Linked DNA regions of Arabidopsis thaliana. The protein of the gene in region 2 interacts with the protein of the main gene of each other region in a pairwise test. Each region holds a gene or a part of one and is shown on either strand. Other genes may lie near its edges. The genes, in order: AT4G33920 and KIPK.

Evidence for each region.
Region 1: the proteins of KIPK (region 2) and AT4G33920 interact in a two-hybrid assay, tested with the Arabidopsis thaliana proteins (one large-scale study listed by BioGRID).

Annotation. Positions count from the first base shown.
Region 1 is NC_003075.7:16,258,743-16,263,620, reverse strand, and holds AT4G33920 (Protein phosphatase 2C family protein), read right to left. Parts: upstream 3,114-4,878; 5' UTR 2,746-3,113; coding exon 2,487-2,745; exon of another isoform or gene 2,241-2,486; coding exon of another isoform or gene 2,231-2,240; coding exon 1,854-2,230; intron 1,515-1,853; coding exon 1,278-1,514; intron 1,188-1,277; coding exon 918-1,187; 3' UTR 567-917; downstream 1-566. Other genes in the region: SSN2 (zinc finger SWIM domain protein), read right to left, coding at 1-46, 162-183, 269-329. UniProt on the Arabidopsis thaliana protein: May dephosphorylate and repress plasma membrane H(+)-ATPases (PM H(+)-ATPases, e.g. AHA1 and AHA2), thus influencing negatively plant growth and fitness.
Region 2 is NC_003074.8:19,605,801-19,612,883, reverse strand, and holds KIPK (KCBP-interacting protein kinase), read right to left. Parts: upstream 4,988-7,083; 5' UTR 4,768-4,987; exon of another isoform or gene 3,854-4,767; 5' UTR 3,735-3,853; coding exon 1,813-3,734; intron 1,735-1,812; coding exon 852-1,734; 3' UTR 667-851; downstream 1-666. UniProt on the Arabidopsis thaliana protein: Could be involved in the negative regulation of root growth.

The DNA.
Region 1 (4,878 bases), on a different chromosome or scaffold from region 2:
TATTCTGGTGGCTTTCTCAAGATTCTTACCAAACAACAGCTGCAAGCTGTATTTGCAAAATTAAATCGATAAACCCTAATCATACCAAACGACTGAAGAAAAATCAATAAATATTTTCGGGAAAAATAAAGAATCCCAGCTATGTATAAGAGAGAACTGACATTGAGAGCTGTTCTTCGGTTACTGCAGAAAAAGATGGAAAATTCAACGGAATAAAATGTCGTAAACAAGGAAAAGGAAAGAGAGAAGTAGTAAAATGGTGAAGTACCTGAACCGGTTGATTCAATGTTCGACCAAACGGCGTCTGCGACCAAAAGAGTGACGTTCATCGTTTTGCTTTTTCTTCCGTCGAAACTTTTCTGAGAAAGTTCTTCTGGAATTGTTGAATTTTTGAGTTTGAATTGCTCTGCCCAATTTCATATTCTCAAAAACCGCTCGTGTTCAATTCGGTTTAGATATTTGACAAATTTCAATTTCGGTTTGATTTGGATCTGAAGTTTCGAATGTCTGTCATGCATATTTTCCAAAATTTAGGCAACATCTGGAATTTTGTTGGCTTATTTTGGTTTGTGATCGATAATGTTTTTATTTAGTTATTATAGACAAATAATTCAATATACTAATCTCTCCATACAAGGTCATAAAAAAAAACAATCTGATATATGAAGAGTTGTCCTCAACGGTTTCACACTAGATTTTCATACAAAAGTATTGTTTGTGTCAAAAGCAAAACTGCTTTGCCCAAAAACTAAAGGGTTTCGACCTTCTTTGCTGGTAAAAGAATATACAAATCCAACTCCAATATTGAAAAAAAAAAAAAACCAGTTCTTCGTAGAAAAACAAATAAACAAATATGTAAACAAGTTTTCTCCCTATTCGGATCTTTCCCAAGCAGCCATTTTACCATAATCAAACAGTCAGTATAACACATTGAGTAACCGTCGTTGCTCTGCTTCATCAGAGTGTAATGAGTAGATATCCGGTGGAGCGGTGATACCTCCTTGCTTCACCAATTTACTATTCGATGAACTGGTTTTGTTTTGATCTAGATAAACTACAATAACGCTTATGTCGTCATGGAAATGTCGTCGAATTCCTTTGGCTATTTTCTTTATATCTCCATATCTCATTTCTCTCTTCTTTGCCGCTTCTTCCAGAGCAGCTCTTACAAGTCTTCGGGCAATACCCTGTAGAACACAGAGTTAATAAATAAATAAACTAAGTAGCTAACATAAATGTGAAGATACAAAGCAAACTTGAGTTTAGGGAAAACTTACAGTTCTTGGGTGTTTGAGGACGATTTCTACGGCTGTTTCATCACTAAGATGTTCCCAGAGACCATCTGATGCAAATATCAGAAACAAGTCCTGTGGCTTAAGCTTCCTTACTATAATGGAGGGTTCGGCTGTCATCGCGGGTCTCCTCAAAGGAATGGGATTTCCATGTCGCTGGAAAATCGGGTCCCTGTAATACTCCGGTTTTTTCAAGTATACATCCCCAATTGATCTCGATACCTATAAAGAAGCGTATATGAAAACGATTTAGCTAACTAATATACAACGAGCTCAAACATTCACGGAAAGGTCACAAGCAACTAAAAAGCATGTATCTTCATTATTATGTATAGCTCTGACTACCGGGAATTCTTAGAAAAGCACAAAATCCACTGGGGAAGAAACGTTGCAGGAGCCCGTGTGACGGATTCCTGGAACATTGCAAGCCCCCATTTATATAAATGAAAAGAGAAAAGAAAAAACAACATCAGATTACACCTTTTAAATATTATAACTTCATCACAGATGCTATGTAATCACACGCAATTTAACAAGCAGGCAAGCAAAACTAAGTTATACCTGAATAATGCCTTTAATCCGCCAAACTCCACGTGTGTATAAGACGATTTGTGAGTCATCAGGGTTAAGTGCCTTAACCTCCTTTCTCACTTCTTCAACAGCAACATTATGATCAGTAGATAACCGTTCAGCTACGGCACCTTTATTACTATCAACCCCTGAAACAACGCTTCCAAGAACGGCTCTCGAGTCCCCAAGATTAGCAACATACAGTGTGTCATTAGAGATTGCACCAACAAGACAGCAAGATCCTACAGTAGCCATTTGCGGTTTCATGGGAAGGGATCGTTTAACCATACCACAAAACTCTTCTTCTGTTTCTTTGAATGCCTTTTTGATAACATCTACAGATAATCCCCCATGTTCTCTTGCAAATTCTGCAATCATAAAACCAATCCTGTAAATTTCACTAACAAGAACATGACTACAAAATCAATTCAAGAGGCAATTTACAAACCTGAACATGTTCACAAAGACCAAAACTTCATAGCAAAATTCGAATCTTTTAATATTGAAATGATCAGGGTAATAGAGATCTCATAAGTTTTGACCATCAAAAACGTAGTCAAAGAGTCAAAAGAAGAAAGAATCCTAAAACAAGTTTAGGGAAGGAAGAGTGGGATTATAACTTACTGTGCATATAAGGAAAGAGATGTCTGTTAACGAATCTAGAAGCTTCAGGTCCACCATGACCATCGTATACACCGACGTAAGTAGCAGAAGAAGATGTGAAAACCTGACTCTGATCTTCAAGCCTGGAATTGGCTTGAACCACCGCGATCGAATAATCACCGCCAGCGTGAGGTCTCAATTCCGATTGCCAGAGTAAACCATCACCACTAGCTCTGCTTCCCAAACACCGTTCGAGAGGCCGTGCTAAAGCTCGCAACATCACAACCTACTTAGGGTTTTTCTATACAGAGAGATTCTGAGTGCAGTAGAGTTAGAGAGAAAGAGATAACAAGATTTTCGATTCGATTGGATGAGAGAAATCGAAAGGTTTTTTTTTATTGAATTTTGATTCGTTCGTTTTTGTTTGATCTGATCGGTTTTAAGGGATTCGTGTGTGTGTTGAGTTGGTGGTGGTAAAAGAAAACCGCGTGAGGAAGAAGAAGAAGAATATTGATAGAGATGACTTGTACTTGTGCCGTTTCTTAGAAGGCTACGTAGACTACGCGTCGTTTTGTTTTAATTTCGCCCTCCCCCTTCTCTTTTTTTTTGCAGTTTTTTTCAACGCGTTGTTTATTTTTGTTATTCTTCTCCATTTAGCTTTATTTTTCTCAATAAATAGACAAAGTTTTGGCCCAAACATAAACGTCATTGCCGTATATTATACTAAAATATCTTTCTTCTGGAACAATTCAAAAACTTAAATTCTGATTCGGTCCAACAAAAAAATATCTAAATTCAACAGCTACTTTTATTTCTTTTTGAAATAGGAGATATTATATTAATGTAGTGTATAATATATATATTTATTTATATGTGATTTACAGAGTCAATGTTTGAATATTATTTAGAAATAGTAGACCCTTTTGAAATATAAATTCATGTCTACGATGAGTAAAGAATCAATTAAATTGTTCATGTCTACAAAAATGTTTACATCGTCTGCAAATAGCAATAAATTAATTCTATTTTGTGTCTTATATATTTTGTATTTGAATATATCAGTGGGAAATTGTTATAATGAGCGAATAATGAATGGGTAAGGATGAGTAACCTGTAGCCAACGTGTAGCTGATATATTTGCTTGTCAACTAAGAAAGACGGATAACAACTGAATACAATTTCTTGCTAATAATCTAGTCATCTTAGTATCTATATTATTATTAACCTAATTTTATTATCACGTTACCGTTTCCGGTATAAGAAAAAAAACATGTTCTGGTCAAAACAAATCTTTGTGTGCTGTGTTCTAGAGCATACTATTAAAACGATGAATATTATTGCTTATGGAGTAATTTATATTTAATTACAAGTGGCACATTTTTATTTGGTTGTTATAAAAAGGTTTGCATTTTGGGATTAAGAAATTGACGTGGAAGGACTTATATATATACGCGGAAGCAACTGGAAATTCATTGGCCCAAGTTGTCGAACTTTTTTGATCATGATGTTTACCTTTACATTTATAACATTATGGATGCGTATTTATCGTTGTTATGGATCATAGGGTGATTTTCAACATATATAGATCCATTCATTTTATTTTTTTTAACATTTGCATATCCACTCATATTATACCGATGCATACAAGATTCATCAAACAAAAAAAAACTTAATTAGTACTACTATTATTTCTGTCAATGCTCACTAAGAATCTCTCTAGTATCACATCTCTCTTCAGTGAACAATGCTCTGTGAACCCCAAGAACCAAACATTAAATGAGTCACCTTCTTTCTTAAACAACAGTTCTATAGCCCACAAAGAGAGCTCCTTGAACCTTCTTCTCGACACAAAGGCTACTTGAATCTTCTTCTTGCTTATTCTTTTCTAAACTCAAATCTCTATATGAAAATCATTTGTAGAATGGTTACACATTTTATTTGGTTATCAAAAAGAAGTTGCAAGAATATAGACTATTAGTTAAGAAAATAAACTCATTTGAAATTTCGTTGGATAATGTATTGATCTCGGCTTAAGACTCTCTAATTTGACTGTATATAATTAATAAATAATCATTCTTTACTTTTTAACCATAAACACAATTCAATGTTGGACTACATATCCACCTTACATTCTAAGATCGATTCCAAGTCATTATCGACAGCCTGAATGAAGCAAAACAACTCAAAAGAAGCCCACCTAATTCAAATCACAAAAACGTTCAAGTTCCATCGAACCAAAACTTAAACCACTCTACGCAACCAAACTTCAACCAAAAAAAAGGATAAATTCGGCGCATTTTTTTGTATTTGTTGACCAGTGAAGAAAATGACAAACTGGTCAACGAGATCTGATCATTAAACTATAAAACAATATATTTTAAAGTAAATAGAAATTTGTGGTGCTTCATTGGAT
Region 2 (7,083 bases):
TTGCAAATTGCAATCTTTGTAACATAAATTATTCAGGCCCGGCCCAGTAGGGTGAGACATAGGTGATAGGTGCAACTGCCTAATTTTGCTGGAAAAAAATTGATATACACCCAAAAATGTGCAATTACAACTAGGCGGTATTCAAGAAAGCGGGTTACGCAGCCGTCTAGGCATCCCCTAGGTGCTAGGCGTTCATGTACCGCTTCGACTTTCTTAAAATCGATTCTATTAGGCGGTGAGGAAGATTTGGCGGACTATGCAGACATTAAGTGGATTACACGGTCATTAGGCGGGTTTAGGCGGGCTAGGCGAATCATCATTGGGCTCTACCTCCAGTCCAATGAGCTCATCCACTTGTCATATCTCAATCTCCGTGCCCGGTAATAGTAACGCTTCCTCAGATGTTTCTCTAAAACTTTCAACAAGCAATGAAGAAGAAAAAGAAGAAGAGAACCTGAGAAACAACAACAATGAGAGGGAGCAATTGAATTGGTGGAGCAATGTAGGGAACCACCACAATATGGGTGGACCATTAGCTGAGGCTTTGAGGTCAGCTTCTTCGACGTCAAGTGTTCTTCATCAGATGGGAATCTCAACTCAAGTCTTTCATTGAAGAAAAGTGTTTGTAATCTTTTGGTTTTGTAGATTAGTGTCTACTAAGATTGTAATGTTTGATCATATATTTAAAAATTGAGATACGAAGGAGCATATATATTTTTGAGAATACTATATCAGATTATGTCTCAGAGAACGCTAAATTTACATATAAGACATTTAGATTTAACTTAGATATAATAACTTACAACAACGATTACTCTGAATGCTTATACCAGAGAATATCTATGTCTTGCTTAAAACAACTCGAACTCAAGATGATCGCCTATGGCTTTACATTCAAGATACCTATTATTACTGCCTCCAGGCGAATCCGCCGCTGCCTCTGGTCCACCACCATACTCATAGAAATCCGGTAGCTCAGGCGGGATTGCACACCGGATCAGAGCCCAATTCAATCCTTCAAAAAAAGGATGTCTTTTGATCTCTACAGAACCTTTCTCTGACCCGAGCCTGTTCTCTGGTTCCTTAACAAGAAGTCCCCTGATCAAGTCTTTTGCCTGGAAGCTTACAAGCGGGCTATCAGGAAACTTGAGGTTCTGTAACACAACATTGGCCAAAGTCTCGTCGTTGTTGTAACCTTTGAATGGTGTTTTCCCGTATAAAAGCTCGTAAAGGAGAACCCCGAAAGTCCACCAGTCAACTGCAGCGCCATGTCCTTCTCCTTTGATGATCTCTGGGGCTAGGTACTCGTGTGTTCCCACAAAGGAATTGGATCTTGCTTCGGTTGGTTCAGCCACGAGCTGAGGCAATGATCTACTCAAGTGTTGTTGGGTTTTCGAAAGATGATCACCCCTTTTTGGTTTTCTACCTTGTTGTTGGTTTGAGGAGAGCCTAGGGCTGAAACACGAAACCTGGCAAGATGGTTCGGTGATACAGAATGGTTGTATGCAGTTGGATGTGTTGTATGGACCTGAAATCCTTGCGGGATCTTTACCAGGTGGAGAGTTTGACCTGACAAGAGTCGGGTTCACTGCACAACGGAGTGAGAGGTCAAAATCCGTAAGCATAATGTGTCCATCTTCACGGACAAGAATGTTTTCCGGTTTCAGATCTCGGTATATGATACCAAGCATGTGTAAGTACTCCAGTGCAAGGAGAATTTCGGCCACATAGAATCTACAGAAACAAATTTTTACAATCAATTTTCAGTACATTAAATAAGCTAGACACGAAATGGAAAAGGTAAATCTTTACCTTGCTGCAGGTTCAGGGAAACACCGGCCTAGCTGCTTCTGTCTGAGGACATGAAGATCTCCTCCAGGACAATATTCCATGACTAGACAAGATAAATTATCCGAAGTAAATTGCGCGTATAATGTAGGAAGAAAAGGATGGTCCAACATTTTAAGTATTTCTCTTTCTGCTTGTGCCCGGGGAGACTTTTTCCTTCTCGCCAAGAACTCGTTGTCCATAACCTTTATGGCAAACAAACAGTTTGTACCAATCAGCTCGGCGAGATAGACTGTTCCTATATCTCCACAACCAAGTTTCTTCAGAAGGTTGAAGTGTCGTAAACCCAAAGAGCCGTATTGAACCTTGATATGCTTAATCGCTTCCCATCTCACATCCATCGACATGTGAGGCTTATTCCCACAGCTAAATCGGCTCAGATTACTCTCCTCACTAATGCTTGTGCTCCTGCTATAATCCCCAAGACTATCTTTTGAACTCAGAGAGAACTCGAATTTCTCACTGGAAGTCGGATTCTCGGTTTCTTTTTCTACCATTGCACCGATTCCACTATTATTGCTAGAGGAAACATCTTGTTTCATTATGACAATGTCAGCTTCAGAGCTTTGACTGACATTACACGAGCCAGAGGAGTTCTCGTCAGATCCTTGATGAGCTTCTTTATTTGAAACAGAGCTCAAACTATCTGTGCAAATCTTAGGATTATGACTAGAAGTATATGAAGGTGGGTTGTCATCGATGCTGGTGCTCTTCAACGAACAGTGACATCTCTGGCAGAGAAGTTGATTGGCACTAGAGTCCAAGGAAGGAACAATTTCTTCATCGTCTTTTGTTGGGTAAGTTGCTGACACAACCCCGATTTTTAACTTCTTCTTAAGCAAAATTTTCTTTTTCGGTTGTTTGGGACGTGGAATCATTCTTGTTACCTTCCGTACTGTTTTGCCATTCTCTGTCCCTGAATTAGGTGCATCATCCAACTTCCCTTTCTGCTCTGAGTCTACAGCAGATGAGGAAATATTCTTGTCAAGCTCCGTCGCATTGACTTTCTTGCTAGAGTGAGATGGCAGTGAAGTAACGTGTTTGTCTATTTCTATCACATCATCTTCAACAAATGCATGAGTGGAAGGAGACGCAACATTTTCATCTAACTCTATCTCATAATCTCCACTGCCAGAACTAAGACAAGACCCAGGTTTGTTGGATCTATGCAACAGCTTAATCTCCCGCGTTTGATTCCCCACTCCTTGTAATCCAAAACTGGTTCCAGCTTGAGATGGCTCAGAAATGGGGTTAGAAGGATCTTCAAACCGTTGAGGTACGCTCTTTGAAGAGCTTGGTTTATCGTTTACAGGCATCAAAGGTATCTCAACCAAACTTCCTTTACCCTTGTCCACAGGAACAAGCCCAGACCTGCTGCTAGTAGATTCATTCGAAACTTGGTTATACAAACTCTTTATCCTGTCAGCTTCTGAGACCCTCGGAGATGCAGCAGCAGATTTCGACAACCGTTTCTGAGCAGCCATTTCCGACGCCTTAGAAATGCAACGATCCCTAAGAGCCTGCTTCAAAGAAACTGAATCAGAGAGACCAACAAATCTAGGAGACTGAGGTGTCCCTGGTTTTTTCATGGACGCAATTCTCTTCGAAGGGCTTGTGGTCCTGCTTGGACCGGCACTCGCGCTCGTCTCATGATGATGGAAAGAAGAACTCATCAACCTCGTAGTAGATGGTTTAACAGAAATAGACTGAAAAAGCATATCAATGTCATACTCAAGAGAACCATGATACTCTCGTTGCTTACGCTCCACCAAATCCTTACTTGATGATCCCATAACCGATTTACCATATCTCCCGGAATGTTTTGGCAATCTTACTTCATCATCCTTCTCTTCCACAATCTCACAAGCGCCTGCAAACGACCCCATCGCAACAGAGTGGATACAGAATCTAAAATCTCTGAAGATAATCAAAGCCGCACCACCGAGTTATCATTCATCTTCTTGTGATCTGTTTCTACACAAGATCCTGCAACAATCACAGTTACCTGAATGAAAAAGAAAAATCAGTAAAACTGGTAAAAGAATACTAACTTCAAATGGAGATTAATGTCTATTAGAGCAATGAGGTGAAGATATTAAAGAGAAGCAAGCAGATCTAGAAACGAAAGTTAATAGCTTTTAGGTCATTCATTATGTTTTTGTAGACTCAATCATGAACCCTATACCAGTACAGATAGAGAGACCTATAAATTTAATACAGCTAAAAAAGAAGACACTTTTAATGGAGAAAATTTGTCAAAAAGCATCTGCGTAATTGGAGATATTGTGAAAGTAAAATTAGAGTGAACAAGAACTGAGATTGGACCCATTATTAAACCAGGGGATGAGAAGAACCCTAAAGATCGAGAATTTACAGAGAAGTAACGAAATTAATAAATCAAACCGCGTAAAAAAAGAAGCTTCGAGTGAGATAAGAGATCTAACAACTAATGAGAACCAAAATCGGAAAATTTCTTATAGTTTCAGATCTCAAAAACTTAAATTTACAGGGACACAAAGAACAGTAGCTGAAGCATGAGTGCAGAATCGATTTAGCACAATTAAATGCAGCAATAATCTTAAATGTCAAATCATAGAGAGCCAATGAGTGAACAAAGAGGAGCTAGCTAATGAACACACACCCAGATTTTTTTTTTTTTTAAACTAAATTTTTGAATTGAAACTGCAGAGACCTTAAGTGACCACATAGAGATAATGAAAGGTCTGAAAAAGGAAAAAAAAATCAGAGAAACCCACCCAAAAAAAACCCTGAATACGGTCCCCAAATCTCATGAATTAAAGCAAATCAAAGAGAGGGTTACAGAAGAAAAATAAATAAAGTGCTAATGGAGGCGTGCAAAGAAGAAAAGGTAAGAGATAAAGAAGAAGCTGGCGATAAATTGAAGGAACAAAGGCTTACCCAGGACAAAAAAAGAAGAAGCTTGCTTGCTGAGAAATACACTAGAATTAGGGTGATTTTGGAGCTCAGATAAACCCTAATGGCCTTGAGCTTTGAAGAGGAAGATCCAGAGAGGAGAAATAAAAAGTAAAAGTTTTGATTTTTGTGTAATTTTTGTTTTCTGGTGAATGAGAGAGAGTTAAGAGATGATCAAGTTGAAAAAAAAAACATGGTGGGTCCCACAGCATATGTTTGCGGGTTTTTTCCTCATTTTATTATGCCTCAAAACAAATAAAAATTACTACTGTATTTTTATTACATATTTCACTTCAGAAGATATTTAATTCCATTTCAAAACTCTTTTATTATTGTTCATAAATTTATCTGAATTGTTATTGTTCTTTTATTTAAATAATTCGAGCTTTATTTGGATTTATGCTGTTTTTATTCATAGAAACAAGTATTTTAATATTATATACTGTCATGTCAAAACTGATTTCACCTCCCGGAAATGTTGATGATCAATAATTTACTTCCACCAATATCATGACATATTTGACCAAAGTCAAATTGCCAAAGAAATTTCCCATCATTCATCGAATAGTGACTAATCTATAAAAGTTGTATATCATGCTGATTTTTTTTTTTTTTTTTTTCAAAGTCATAACACTGCTCTCCAGTTGAATCTTAGATCACTAGAGTAGTAGAGGTCGACTAGATGTCTTTATCTAGCCATCTATGATTCTTCTAATCGAGCTAACTCAATCGGATTATATCAATAATATATTATAGAACTTTATTAAATAGTTTCTTTTTTTTTTTTTGGGCAAAACTAAATTGAAAAAATAATAGGGAAAAATTGAGGAAAAACCCCTTTACAATCAGAAATCCCATAAGAAAGATTATCTTGATGAAAAGATTAGTTTAGTGTAATCAATAAAAATAAATAATTACAGTATTTCGATCGTCGTATGTCTTAATTTACTGCGAACACATGGTAGTAGGTAAGATTGGTGAGAAGATAAAAATAGATGTGAATGCTTTTAAAATATAACGGTGGAGCAATATTGTCAGAATAAGACAGGTAGCCAATGCGCAGTTCTTTTCAAAATGTTTTTTCGACAACACTTCTTTCGAAGAAATAACGTTTTTATTTTGTAGATTCATATAATTTAGCAAACAAAAAAAGAACACTGTAGATTGATATGTATTTTGAATATATATTTTTAATCAGTCTTTCAAATTCATAACTATGGAACTATACTAGTACCATTTTACCTCAAAGTTCAGACATCAGATCATAAGATAAAAGTATTGAACATACAATTAAGAATTAGGCCTGTTACTAACTTAGGAAACATTAATGATTAACGAACGATATGTTCAAATTTAAGCAGACGAAAATACTACAAATCAGTCTAATGTATAAAATATTTCTGATAGAATGACTATCAGAAAGATAATAAAAAGTGGAAGGTGACTGCATTTTTATAGCCAAGCCGAGACTTTTTCGTGGGTTACTTAACTAGTTTATAGTATTTATATTTAGTTTTAGTTTTAGTTTGGTTTTATCAATTGTATGTGAAGCGGTAATAGATTAACATGATCATAATCATTTTTAGGTGTGTTGACTTTGTGTATGATGGTAGGTCAATGGGTCATATATAGATTACTTTGGATCTCGTTGATAAAGCTTATACACACGCAGGCAAATCGATCCTTTTCCTCGGTACAATATACAATGCGATTGCAATTTACAAGAAATTAGAATACGTTTTTCCACGTAAAACAGTAAATTATATGCATCATTAATTACAAATATCTCAAATAAAAACTAAAAACCATTATTGCTTCATTAGCCACCCAAGACAAATGAATTAAAAAAATAAGAAAGAATGAACTAGAATCTAATAGAAGATGCATAGGAAAAATCAAATAGAGTCTAATGGAAAATGCATAGGAAAAATCAAATAATATACAACCGTAACCATAAGATCAAGAAACATAACTTAATGATACATGATCGAGATTAATAACAACAAAGTACTTTTGAATCTGGCAAAAAAGCCTAAATCATACAGTTGGAACGTGGTGTTAGGAAATAATAGAGACTTGATAGGTCTTTGAGAACCCTTTGAGCCTAGGATTCCTCTTTCTGCGCCTTTAATCTCTTCCCTCATGCTTTTAATCCCCATTAAATATATTGTAAACACTAAACTAACACAAAAATTAGATGTGTTACGTCCGCTTCTGATTTCTTATTTAACTTAAACCAACCATCAACATCAAAAGATTTTATTATACAAACATATGCATGCGCATATTTAAATATATCAA